3 linked regions of the Rattus norvegicus genome follow. The protein of the gene in region 1 interacts with the protein of each later gene in a pairwise test. Links are inferred from orthologs where the notes say so. Each region holds a gene or a part of one and is shown in the gene's direction. Other genes may lie near its edges.

Region 1 (4,339 bases):
ACCCTGTCTCCCAGTGATGGTGGCCCCTGGAAGTCTTGGGCTTAGGCAGGAGAGTAAAGAAAGTGGAGTCCCAGATGCTGGCAGTTCTAGCTGACATCCAGAGCTCTGTCATCTCTTTGGATAAAAGGAGCCTCTGTGATCACACAGGAATAAGAGAGCTCACTACAAAACAAAGGCAGCTACTTGCTGCCCAACTTCTTACATTTTACCTGTTCAGCTGTAGCTGCAGCCTTGACTCTGATGCTATCACTAATTCCTAACATTAATCCTGACTTTATTTTGTATCCTAATTCCCTATATTTTGACACTTACCCCTTTCCTAGCACACAACCATACTAATCTGGCTTTTATTTTTAGGCCCAAATCCCCTAACTTTAACCCTAAATACTGCCCCTCTCCCCAGTCCTAAAGCTCATTTCTACCTTGATTCTTAATTCACCTTCTCACTGTTTATTCTTAATACTGACCATGACAATGGCCTTTAATCCCTGAAACGAGCTTCTAAGCCAATTCCTGTTGTTGATCCTTAACCCGATCCTGTACACTGACTTATGCTGGTCATTCCAGAAAATAATGACCTCAGTTTAAATGTCACAAACACGAAAGAGACTTGACTCATGCATGTTTAAAATGTAGTCCAGCTTCTTAACTTCTAATGGGATCCTTGCTTCCTAAACCCGACGCACCTAACTCAAACTCACCCAAAGTTTTCCTAACCACATACTCACTATCGGCTAACACCAAAGCCCATCCCCGCCCAATGCCTCACTGCCACCCCATTTCTACCCGTCCCAAAAACTATCCGAGACAGAGAACTGTCTACTCCCGCGAAAAGGGCCTGTCTCTCGCAACACGGCTGGCTTAATTTCAAACCTAAACTGAAACGTACTGTACCCTGACCTCCCCAACCGGACACAGGATATGCAAGAGGATTGGGGGCCCCGCCCGCCGCTTCCCGGGCCGGCCTGATCCCGCAGCCCCACCTAGAACCTCAGCCCAGCCCGTCCGGCCTACCTGCGCTGCCCAGCTCTGCGCCCCGCCCTGGGCCCGCTACCCGCTCGTTCTCCCGGTCGCTTTGGGGCTCCGGCCTCGCCCTCCCTTCGACACACTCTCGTCCACTTCCGTCCTGGAAACGTCCCCCACCCGCCGGCGGTCCGCTCTATGGTCGCAGAGACTGCAGGAAGCTGCTCTGGCCGCAGCTCTCGATGCTCGGGCTCCCGCGAAGCCTGGCCGCCCCTCCCCGGCAGGAAGCGAGGGTGCAGAGCACTGGAGAGAACGCCCGAACTAAACGGGAGTTCCCTTTTAGACTCTTAGGGTTTTTTTAATAGCTCGCGGCGAAGGCGGATCCGGATCCTCAGAATCCCCGCCCTGGGGCGTGGGAAGCTGAAGGGACATCCCCATAATTTGCATAGCCCCTGGGACGTGGCGCACTACACAAGCCACTTCCGAGTTGGAGGGAACTCCAAGTCCCAGGATTCCACGGGACTATGTGCATCACTTCCGTTATGTTGGACGCTGAGGGGAATAGAAGCTGAGAGGCGGGTGTGGCATATAGAGTAACAGCTAGGCCCTGGTCCGGGAGTGACTAAGGTTAAGTCGATGCGACTTGACAGACTGAGGGGTCGTGCCTAAGGTTCGGAGATTGGATCTGCGCAGAGGAGTTTCTATCCATAAATATTCCAAATGGATCCTGGTGGTCAGGACCTGCTAGCTTTGGATCCTGGTGATCAGGACCTGCTAGCTTTGGATCCTGGTGATCAGGACCTGCTGGGCTTCCTGCTAGAGGAAAGTGGAGATTTGTGGGCTGCGACTGAGCAGGACATAGAGACTCCCCTGGACTTGGAGCTGTCGCCTTCCGAGGTGGGTGGGTGTTCTGAGTGGGGAAGCTAGCGATGTCCCTGAGACCCAAGGTACAGAGATAAAACAAGGCCTTTGATTTTGTTAGAACTCCGTGCAAGAATTGAGCGACTGGGAGGTAGAGGATTTACTGAGCTCTCTGCTCAGTCCCTCGTCATCGCCGGATGTTCTCAACTCTTCTAGTTCTTCTATTCTCCATGATCACAACTATTCCCTTCCACAGGAGCACGTCTCCATAGATCTAGGTGAGTGTGAAATGTTAAGTTATGGGGAAAGAGAGAGCTCACTGAACTTGCTAGCCCTACTTTCGCTTTTGCAGATCCTGGGAGCTTTGAAAAGGAGGGGTTCCGCATGAATCCATTGCGTGTGGAGGAGACAGCAGCAGAGCAGGTACTGGGCTTGGTGTTTCAGGATTACCTCACTTTGCAGCGGCCAAGAATCCCCCATACTGCTCTGACATCACCATGCAACTCTGCTCTCTTCCTCCAACCTTAGGAACTTTCTACACTGATACTGACGGAGGAAGAGAAAAGGCTTTTGGAGAAGGAGGGGCTCACTCTGCCCTCAACACTTCCTCTCACTAAGGTAAGGCTTCTGGTAGTAGAGCAAAAGCTGGAGGGGGATTGTATAACCCAAGTAGGCAAACTCAGTTTATTTCATATCGATCACTTACAAAAGGACTGAGGTCAGAATGGAAGCTGATAGTGGGAACCTGGGACGAGCAGATACCAGGGTAGATCCTGGTCTTGTGGCGCTGATATACATTTTGGCGTTCCTTTCAAAATTATCAGTGTATGGCTTTGTAGGAAAAGGCCTTGCTTAACTCCCAGGACCCACGTGATGGAAGGAGAGACCCCCATGTACAAAAGATAATTTTTTTTTTTTGTTCTTTTTTTCGGAGCTGGGGACCGAACCCAGGGCCTTGCGCTTCCTAGGTAAGCACTCTACCACTGAGCTAAATCCCCAGCCCCAAGATAATTTTTTAAATGTAGAGTAACTTTAGAACAGAGCCTTGAAAGGGCCTTCAAATGATGGCCTTGACAGATTTCGTTGCTATCTTGGGACTTCGCCTTTTGCTCAGTGGTAGAGTAGATATGCTGGAGAGGCTGAAGCAGTCTAACAACAATAGTTGTTACAAAGCTGTAACAAAGTTGTAACAAAGCTGGACTTGAGGGGCTCACACTGCCATAACCCTAGAGGCAGAGGCAGGAAGGTCCTCCCACGCTCAAGGTCACTTCCCAAGTGAAAGCATACTGCATCTAGTTTTTGTGCCCCTTTTATTGTCTTACTTCTTTTGTTATGTATGTACTGACTTATTTGGGACAGGTGGATCAGGAGTTAAAGGCCAGACTTCGCTTCATGTTGAGTTTAAGCAAGCCTGGCCCACATGATAAACCCTCTCCTATCCCTCTCCTGCCATTACGAGATGAATGAGCAGTATAGTAGTTAATAGGAAAGAAAATGGAGTTTTGGAATTATCAATAGTGGCTCCGTCCCTAGGACAGTAACTGTCTTGTCCTCCTTTACACTGGCCAAAGCATACCATAATTCTCCTACCCCTGGGATTGGAATATAGCACCTCTGGAATACTCACCAAGTGCTCTACCACTGGCTACGCCCTCCAGCCCTGGTTTGTAAGGCAGGGTCTTGTAAGCCCAGGCTGGGCTGGCCTCACACTGTGTCGTAGGTAAAGAATGCCTTTGAATTCCTGGTTCTCCTGCTTCTAGCTTCCTAGGACCAGATTACAAGTGTATGACATCACTCCTGGCTACTGTCCAGGTTTGACAAGCATTATCAGAGACTATGAGAGTTAACTTTATTCAGTTTTAATTTCTGAAAAAAAAAGAGTTTAAAGTACTTAAGATAAAGATGTTCTATATCATTCTAGAGAGCCTAGGAAAATCCAATGGGTGGAAACTAGAAGATTGATGTGGGTTTAGGATAAGGATGGTGGTAGTTGTTAGTTCTGAGACATAGTCTTCTGTAGTTCACTCAGTCTGTCCTGAAAACTACCCTAACCAAGGATGGTCTTGAAATCCTGACCTCCTTCCTCTTCCTCCCAAGTGCCGATATTACAGGCATGTACAACCACACCTAGCTTAGGAGGAACTTTTTAAATTAATTGGCAGCTGTAAAGATGGCTTAGTGGTTTAGAGCACTTTCTGCTCTTCCGTGGGGCGTGAGTTCCAGTCCCAGCACCCACATGGCAGCTCACAATTATCTGTAACTTCAGTCCCAGGAGATCTGTCATTGTCCTCTAGCCTGTGTGGGCACCAGGCACACACATTATACATATACATTATACAGACATGCAGGCAAAACACCTATACACATAAAAATAAGAAAACTCTGGCTTTTAAGTGCTGGACACGTGTCCTGTGGAGATGTCCACACAGAAGGTGAATGCCTATTGGCAGAAAAGCTGTGGAGAGAATTTCATTGGGAAGGTTAGCTGCCATCCAACACACCTATGTAATATGTA
Region 2 (4,046 bases), on another chromosome or scaffold:
CACATAAGTGGCGAATGACAGAGGAGTTGCGATTCCCAGATTTTCTAGACTCCAGTGGATGGTCTCTGCACTGGGCACTGTTTGATGTTTTACAGAGATGTGTAAGAACTCACTGGAGAACGTGGCAGGTAAGAGGCACCCCGGCAAAGGCAGCAGCACCTTAAAGGTCTTATGTATTTATACAGCGAAGAAGCACACTGGAGAACTTAAAAGATGATATGTGGATTCTCCCTGCAGTATTCCCACTCTCGAGTCTCGGAGGGAGGAGGAGGTAACACGATTTAGTAGATGTTTTTGAAGTTCCTCTGTGGTTTCCTTTCCCTTTTTTGGGAAGCAGGGACAGTAGTGGGAACTGAACCCAAAAGCCTTGCATATAAGCTAGGCAAGCATTCTCTCACTGAGCTACATCTCAGTGCTTTTTCTGAACCAATTTACTCTTAACATAGGCGTTCCAGATATCCCCAGCAACCAGCGTGCAAGGTGAGCAAATTTCTGTCCTGTCTGGAAGATCCCTCGACTTCATATGCATTCTGCTCCATAGCCTCAGTAGTGCTGCAGACTGATTAAAGAAAAGCATTTATGGAACACAACAGTATTGATTCTCACCATTTGTTATCCGTTCTCAGGCATTGTCCAAGTCATACCTCCCGAGCCATTTCCCCTAGGAATTACGTAGGAATTCCTGCTTTTATGAATACGCTGCTACAGCCTGTTGCACACTGATTTGTTCCACTTAGCATGGGGAAAAAAATCTATATTTATAATTAATTAATTAATTAATTAATTAATTAATTAATAGATCTGCGGTGTACACTCAACCACCGGCGGATTAACTTCAGCATCCATGGATAAGTCTGCAAAAGGCCTGCTTTCTTCCAGGCCCTGGCACAATGTGGTGCTGGGCGCTGGAAAGAATCCATGGAGGCCGGGAGCGCAGCCAGCTTTGGAGTTAGGTATCGCCGGTCTGACCTCACCCCAACTCTCCGGCCCCGCCCCAGGTGACCCCTAGGATCTCACCCAGGGGGCGTGGCTGGCGCGGGGCATGCCGGGCGGGCAGGTGGGCAGGTGTCTGGGCGGGGCGTGTCGTGGTTGGCGGCGGGCGGAGGGGCGGAGGGGCGGTGGCTGGTCACCCGGAAGAGTGGTCGGCAGAGCGAACGCCGAAGGCGGCGGTCCGAGCCTTGACATGGACAAGCTGAAGAAGGTGCTGAGCGGCCAGGACACCGAGGACCGCAGCGGTCTGTCCGAGGTGAGTGCAGCCGGGGAAGTTGGCATTTCTTGGAAAGCTGTCCTGCTCTCCTCCCGCCCGCGGCGCCGAGCTCTGCTGGGACACAGCCACAGGTGGCAGCGCGGGGCTCTTTGTGGAAGGCGTGGCTCCCGAACCCTCCCCAACATTCCCTCCGAAGGGCTTGGGGCTCTGAAGACCTCAGAAGTCTGTGGAGTGGGAGTGTGGGCCCCGGGGCCTCCGGACTCCCCCTCCCCCCCCCCCCGACTGGCCAGGGAAAGCCCTTAGGAGTTGGGCGAGGCCGGCGGCCTTGGTGGAAGGATCCGCGGTCGGATCGCGGACTGGTTTAGGTTGTGGGGTGTGAGATACAGACCTTATGCATACTGCTTTGTAATTTGTAAAACTCTGAACGCCTGACAACAGGGACCTACTTGGTCTTTGAGTCTCCAAGGTTACTTCCTAGACTATAGATTCCCAGCGAGACCGGAGATCGCCAGTGTGTTTGTTTTATTAGTAGAGCTTTGATGGCTCTGAAACTTGCCCACTAAGGCCCCGTGCTCCAGAGCGACTCAGAAAGTCATATTTTAGGTGCTTTGGAAGTTGGTTTACATTTCCTTCCTTGAAGACAGAATTGCGTTTTACTTAATGTACCTTTAGTCCCCGTTTCCCCTTCTGAGAAAGAAGGTTGTTGAACAAGATGCTATAACCCTTTCCCCTTGGAAATTGGAGTTCCTCTTTAATGCTTACTTGTTTTTTTGTGATTTTCCCAACATTTCTGCTTTCACTCACTTCTATGTTGATTTTGTTTTTGTGTTTGCAAAAACACAACTACACCTCAAAGGGAATAAGAAATTAATTTGAAGCAAAATAGGAGTCACCATGGCCCCAGGACAGATTCAGGTTACTGCAAATTCAGTGTTCCAACATGATAACAATTTGATAAGTTCTGAGAGTAATAGAACAAAGTAATAACTTAAGGTTCTTTTCAGACGCATCAGTGGAAGCATAAACAGGCAGTTAAGGCAGCGTGGAGGAATCTCAGCTGTAGCTCGGAGAGGCTGGTTGATGGCATTCTAAAACCTTATTAAGTTAATAAATTCCAAGGTTTTTTCTCCCTAGTAGTTACAGGTAGGTTAGTCACTGTTACATCAACACAGGTAGGCAAGAAATGACTGCGGGGGGGTGGAGGTGGGGGTGGGGGGAGGAGGGGGGTTGAGAGTTGGGGGTGGGGTTGGGGGGTGGGGCTAACCATAGCACAAGATTAGTTGCAGTTAGGCTCTGGAGCTGCAACTTCCCAACCTCTGCATGATCATTAAAATTCAAATCAGTGGGCTGGGGATTTAGCTCAGTGGTAGAGCGCTTACCTAGGAAGCGCAAGGCCCTGGGTTCGGTCCCCAGCTCCGAAAAAAAAAAAAAAAAAAAAGAACCAAAAAAAAAAAAAATTCAAATCAGTGATTTTCATGTTTTAATTTTTTTTTTTTAAATTCTGGCTTCTCGTGAACTTTCATATGAAATGAAGCCAAAGAATGTTCCAAGACTTTAGTTGACCCTCTTATCACGTAAAGATAAGCTCTGTAGAAGTTACACACTGTGGTAGTCTTAGGGGAGACTGGTGGAGGGTGCAGTGTTGCCTGTGAGGTGGTGTTCACCTGTAGCAGTGGGCTGGCTTTCAGGAGTGAATAGTGTAGCCCCATTTGAAAACAAATCGCCTAGTGGTCCCTCCCCATTCACCCCCTTTTTCCTAAATGGTGAATGCCTGTGTTGGATACAGTGAAGGGCTTTGATCTCCACTTAAACTCAGGCATATGTTACACCTATTTTTAAAAGATTGTGGCTTCACTCGTTTGGAAATATTCTCAGTTTCCTCTTTCCTAGTAAGATTCCTGTTGATTGTGTCATCCTGTGGCCATTTCCAGGTCTTGAGCCCCAGGAAATGTTCTGTAGCCAATAGGGTTCCCATGGTTTTGAGCCTGGAAAAACTGAAGGATTCTGTGGTTAAATTCCTGTTTGTGTGGTTAGCTGGATGGGGTTGCTTTCAAGGCTCTTCAGTTCTGTAACCTGTAAGAGGTTATCAGAAAAGTTAAAAAATTTTTTCTAATTTATTTTAATGCCAATAGAAAAGTATGGCCGGTTGTGGTGGCGCACGCCGGTAGGATTTGCTGAAGGAGGCAGAGGCAGGAGGATCACGAGTTCGAGGCCAGCCTGGGCTACACATTTTGGGGCTGGGGATTTAGCTCAGTGGTAGAGCGCTTGCCTAGCAAGCACAAGGCCCTGGGTTCGGTCCCCAGCTCCGAAAAAAAAAAAAAAAGAAAAAAGAAAAAAGAAAAGTATGAAAACTTCTGTCTCCTGTCCCTCCTAGGTAGCTGTAAAGTGGCAGGACCCACACACACAAACAGCCTTATGACATGAGTCTTTGAATTAACACCCGCCGTCATAATCACACTTAAGTCCTGGTTTCAGTGGAGTCCTTTCTGAAAGAACAGGCTTTCTGTTTTCTGGGCGGGGTTCTCGGGACAAGGAAGGCCTGAAGGATGCCTAATCATACCTCACAGGCGTAAAACAGCATTCCTTTCTTACCGGTTGCCAGGCTCAGCTCCCTGGACCGCCCTTAGCTAGAGCTCTTGGCAGCAGCCTCTCTTCTTCTCCATCCTGGAGTCAAAGGCACCTTTGTGCGTGACAGCCAGTCAGACAGCTTGGGAGCACACCCCCTACACATTCTATCTAGGTACCGCTCTAGCCGTTTTGAGCTTTGCAAAAAGCTCCGTTCTGGCAGGGTTTCCAGAAACAACAGCCTAGAGGGAGATTTTTCCATCAACTGAATTCA
Region 3 (4,385 bases), on another chromosome or scaffold:
ATGTGCGCACACGCACACACACACACTCATTGGAGAGAGAGAGAGAGAGAGAGAGAGAGAGAGAGAGAGAGAGAGCTCGGAAAGCAAGCCAGTAAGCAGCGCTCCTCCGTGGCCTCTGCATCAGTTGCTGACTCCAGGTTCCTGCCCTGCTTGAGTTCCTGTCCTGACTTCCTTTGATGATGGACTATGGTGTGGAAGCATGAGCCCAATTCCTCCCCAAGTTGCTTTGGTCATAGCATTGTTATCCTAACAACAGTAACCTTAACTAAAGACAGTGAGAGAATTTGTGTCAAAAAAGAACAAAAGCAAGGAACCAGGTGGTTGGCACCTAAGGAGCAGTGTATGAGGCTGACTTCTGGCCTCCATATGTCTGCATGCACACACAGGGCTTGGGGAGTGAGAGACAGCAATTAAAGCCATGCAAACACAAAAAAGGGTGTTGGTGATTGGTGATAACTTTCTTCTTATTTTATTCAACAAAAATGTATTATGCTGCTGGTTGTGGTGGTATACAGCTTTGAGCCCAACACTTAGGGGGCAGAGACAGGCAGATCTCAGTTAAAGACCAGCCAAGGCAGCATAGAAACACCCTGTCTCAAAAAGAAACGTACAACCAAAAAAAAAAGTGTGTGAGTCTTTGCTATGAGTCTTAGATTCCATGTGTGACCAAAGGTCAAGATGAAAGATCCAAAGAATCACTAGCCAGTATCGCTCCCAATACGAAAATCTCAGAAATTAGCGTTTGCCTCTTGCTTCTCCTCAGGCTGAAGGCCTCGGGTTTGCTAAATCATATTCGAAAGCCCTGACCCTGCAAGGGATAATTGTATTTTATTTTTAATTATGTGTATGTATATGTGTCTGCATGAGGACGTATGCACGGGAGGACGAGGTCAGAAGAGGGCACTGGGTCCCCTTGGAGCTGGAATCCAGGCAGTTGTGAGCCACACCATGTGGGGGCGGGCAACTGAGCAAGCTCCTGCAAGAGAGCCATGGGGCTTTAACCCCTGAACTGTTCCCTGGCCCATCAGCTTTTCTTCAGAATCCTATTAAAAGTGTCTGTCCAGGGGTTGGGGATTTAGCTCAGTGGTAGAGCGCTTGCCTAGGAAGCGCAAGGCCCTGGGTTCGATCCCCAGCTCCGAAAAAAAAAAAAAAGAACCAAAAAACAAAACAAAAAAACAAAAAAAAAAAAAGTGTCTGTCCACTGTGATCATGTGACCCAAGTTTGCGGGGAGGGGGGTTGGAAGGGGACGGGGTGGGGTGTATTCCTCTTGCTTTGTGTTAAATTGAGGTCCTCCAGCCCCTGGTACTCATTGTGTTTTTATTGCAAACATTGAAGATATTTCAGGGTCTTAGAGTGGGGGGTTGTTAAATTGGTCCCTAGGATAATGTGATCCTTGGAGGATCTAGGACAGCAGGGGAGTCCAAAAAGAGCAAAAGTTCCCAGCGTAGGCATTAGCGCCACCGCTGGCCCCAAGGCACAAGAGGAAGGGGCGGGGCCTCAACAGGTCGATGCCGGAAGTGCCTCTCCGCCCCTGCTACTGGACCATGGAGACCGTGGCCCAGTAGAGACCTTAGTGTGAGGCTTGCAGGGGTGGCAGCCATGGAGGCTGTGCTGAACGAGCTGGTGTCTGTGGAGGATCTGAAGGTAAGGTCTGGGCCGGAGGAAGGACGAGGGCAGAATCGGAAAGGGCAGTTCCTGAGGAGAGCTGACCGAAGCCGAACAGTGCCGGTTTCGTCTTTCTAGGAGAGCCGAACTACGACTCCCATCAGCCTCTGCGACATCCTGCCTCTTGTGGGAATCTGCGCCGTGTCCCTGAGCCTGATGGGAGTTGTAGTTTCCAGGGTTTCGGCAACTCAGACCTAGGCCTGGGGTCTTCGTGTGATGCAGAGCTGGGAATTTGGGGTACTCGTGCAAGGATGAAGTAGCATAGTCCCTGGTGTAAACTTTCGCTAGTGTTTAGTCCCTCAAGGTGCTATTTTTACCACATCCTTGTAGCTGTGTTTTCTTTCCTCTCCTAGAATTAAAGTAAGGCAGACCCAGGTCCGAAGAGTAGAGTAGGACGGGACTAGCAGCCTCAATTGAAAGGCCATGTAGGAGGTCATTTAGCTCTGGGACAATATGTTTACTCTTCAGCCACTTGAGGTCAGCTGGTTCGGTTGCCATGCCTGCAGCTTCCACCAGGTGGCATCTCCTCTTGGTACCACTAGGGGCTGGGTTCAGGGACCTTCTAAACATGAGCATGGGACACAGGGATGGAGATGACAGAAGTTAGACATCCGAGTACCAAGATCTACAAGGGAAAGGTGACAGATAGGAAAATGTGGTCTAACTGGGATTTAGACTCCAAGATAGCTAGAGAATGGTGGGTGGATGCCCATTGTTTCTAAATGATTGCTCTTCTCTCTGATGACAGAATTTTGAAAGGAAATTTCAGTCTGAGCAGGCAGCTGGCTCTGTGTCCAAGAGCACGCAGTTTGAATACGCCTGGTGCCTGGTTCGAAGCAAATACAATGACGACATCCGTAGAGGCATCGTGCTGCTGGAGGGTAAGGTGCTGGCTCCCCACTTGCAGCCACTAGCCAGTCTGCCCCCTACTGTCCTTGACCTCACCCCTCCAGGACCCTTTCTGTCATGGAACCCCCACCTTATAACACATTCATCCCTCAGTAACCACCAGAAAATCCACAGCAGCAAAAGGCCAGGCTGGCTCTCTACATCCCCAATTTCAGCATCTGAACATTGGTTCAGATGGGAAATGCTGTGAGAGAAAAATGTTCTCAGGCTGGGGAGATGACTCAGTGCATTCTGTCCAGGCATGGAGACCTGAGTTCAAATCCCCAGCACCCACAACAAAAGCTGAGTGTGGCTATAAGTGCCTGTGTAGGGAGTAGCACTGGAGTGAGCAAGAGAATGCTTAGTCAGACCCTTTCTCTGGGGGATGGTGTGGAGGGGGAAGCAAGAGGCCAGACGTCCTCTGGCCCCTGTGCTTCCATTTGCACACACGCAGTAAACAGAACAGCTCTGGCCTAGCTACTAGTTGCTGTTACTATGCATTTGTATTGTATTGGATAGCAGAAAGTTCTAGAGATTTAAAGTGGCTGAAGGGCTGGTGGCATCAAGGACATGTGATCCAAGCACTCCAAAGACGTAGGGACATAGTTCAGTAGTCATTGACTGGGGAGATGGAGGCAGGAAGATGAGAAGTTCAAGGCCATGTCAGCTACCTACTGACCAAATTTGAGGTCAGCCCGTGCTACACAAGCTTCCTCTCTCAAAAAAAAAAAAAAAAATCTTTGGGGAATACAAGTAGGTTCTGTGCAAACACTGTTTAATTGTAGAGATTATATTAGTTTTATGATGGGCCTTCCAGCTATAGACTTTGAATGGGGGAGCATTGGCATCACCCCAGAGGCTATCAAGGGACAATAGTAACAAAAGACTGCTCTATCCCTTAGTCATTTTTGATTTTGACCCAGGACTCTGCATCCTGCTTCAGCCACCTTACTGCTGGGAACTCAGGGGTGCCCCCAGCTCTGGCGTCTTTGTAAAAGCAAATGCTGGCCCCTGCTTTGATGAGTTAGGACTTAGGTTTCTCCTGTAGTAGAGCACAGCAGTGGAGGTGGCCTCAGAGCATTTGAGTCTTCTGTGGGGACACAGTGCAGACACTGAGGAGGCTGCAGCTCTGCACAGCTAGTGCCCAAGCCTGGACAGCATAGTGAGTCCCTGTCCTAACACACGGGGGCACACAGACACACATGGACACACACACACACATGGACACACACACACATATACACATACACACATATTGACACACAGAGGGGGCGGGAATGAGGGTCACTCAAGGAAGCTGAGCTAAGAGAAGGGGGCAAGTTGTGGACCTAGAGTGGAGGCATGAGCCTTTAATCCCAGCACTCTGGAGGCAGGGGCAGGAGATCTCCGTGTTCAAGGTCAGCCTGGTCTGCAGAGTGAGCTGCAGGACTACACAGTGAATCCCTGTCTCAAAAACAAAACAAGAGCTCAGTCTGTAGCATACCTGTCTGCTGTGTATGAAACCCTGGTTTGATTCCCTTCCCAGCACTGCATAAGCCAGCCGTGGTCCTGTACCACTCAGAAGGCAGCGGCAGGAGGAGCAGAAACTCAGGTCATCCTCAGCAAGACAATGAACTAAAAGAGGGACTGTGAATGCCAGGCAGGAGGTGGCCTTGCAGTGGGACCTGTAGCTGACCAGTGGAACGCACCCGTCCATGCAGACCTCGGTGCTGGTTCCTGCCTTCCACCGCAGCTGTCTGACAGGCTCATGCTGCCCTTGGTTTGTGACTAGAAAGCTGGGGTGATAGGAACTGGTAGTGGAGGTCCAGGGCAGTGGCCCTCCAGGATCCTA

Evidence for each region. The genes of interacting proteins can lie anywhere in the genome.
Region 2: the proteins of Creb3 (region 1) and Sft2d2 interact in a two-hybrid assay, tested with the Homo sapiens proteins (2 studies listed by BioGRID and IntAct). The two-hybrid records come from large-scale screens. The link is inferred for Rattus norvegicus from reciprocal best matches to the Homo sapiens genes CREB3 and SFT2D2.
Region 3: the proteins of Creb3 (region 1) and Fis1 interact in a two-hybrid assay, tested with the Homo sapiens proteins (2 studies listed by BioGRID and IntAct). The two-hybrid records come from large-scale screens. The link is inferred for Rattus norvegicus from reciprocal best matches to the Homo sapiens genes CREB3 and FIS1.

What each region holds. Positions count from the first base shown.
Region 1 is NC_086023.1:62,612,126-62,616,464, forward strand, and holds the start of Creb3 (cyclic AMP-responsive element-binding protein 3), read left to right. Parts: upstream 1-1,526; 5' UTR 1,527-1,683; coding exon 1,684-1,860; intron 1,861-1,945; coding exon 1,946-2,102; intron 2,103-2,176; coding exon 2,177-2,247; intron 2,248-2,352; coding exon 2,353-2,442; intron 2,443-4,339. UniProt on the Homo sapiens protein: Endoplasmic reticulum (ER)-bound sequence-specific transcription factor that directly binds DNA and activates transcription. Plays a role in the unfolded protein response (UPR), promoting cell survival versus ER stress-induced apoptotic cell death.
Region 2 is NC_086031.1:80,034,271-80,038,316, reverse strand, and holds the start of Sft2d2 (vesicle transport protein SFT2B), read left to right. Parts: upstream 1-1,172; 5' UTR 1,173-1,183; coding exon 1,184-1,246; intron 1,247-4,046. UniProt on the Homo sapiens protein: May be involved in fusion of retrograde transport vesicles derived from an endocytic compartment with the Golgi complex.
Region 3 is NC_086030.1:25,346,459-25,350,843, reverse strand, and holds the start of Fis1 (mitochondrial fission 1 protein), read left to right. Parts: upstream 1-1,511; 5' UTR 1,512-1,600; coding exon 1,601-1,645; intron 1,646-2,414; coding exon 2,415-2,547; intron 2,548-4,385. UniProt on the Homo sapiens protein: Involved in the fragmentation of the mitochondrial network and its perinuclear clustering. Plays a minor role in the recruitment and association of the fission mediator dynamin-related protein 1 (DNM1L) to the mitochondrial surface and mitochondrial fission.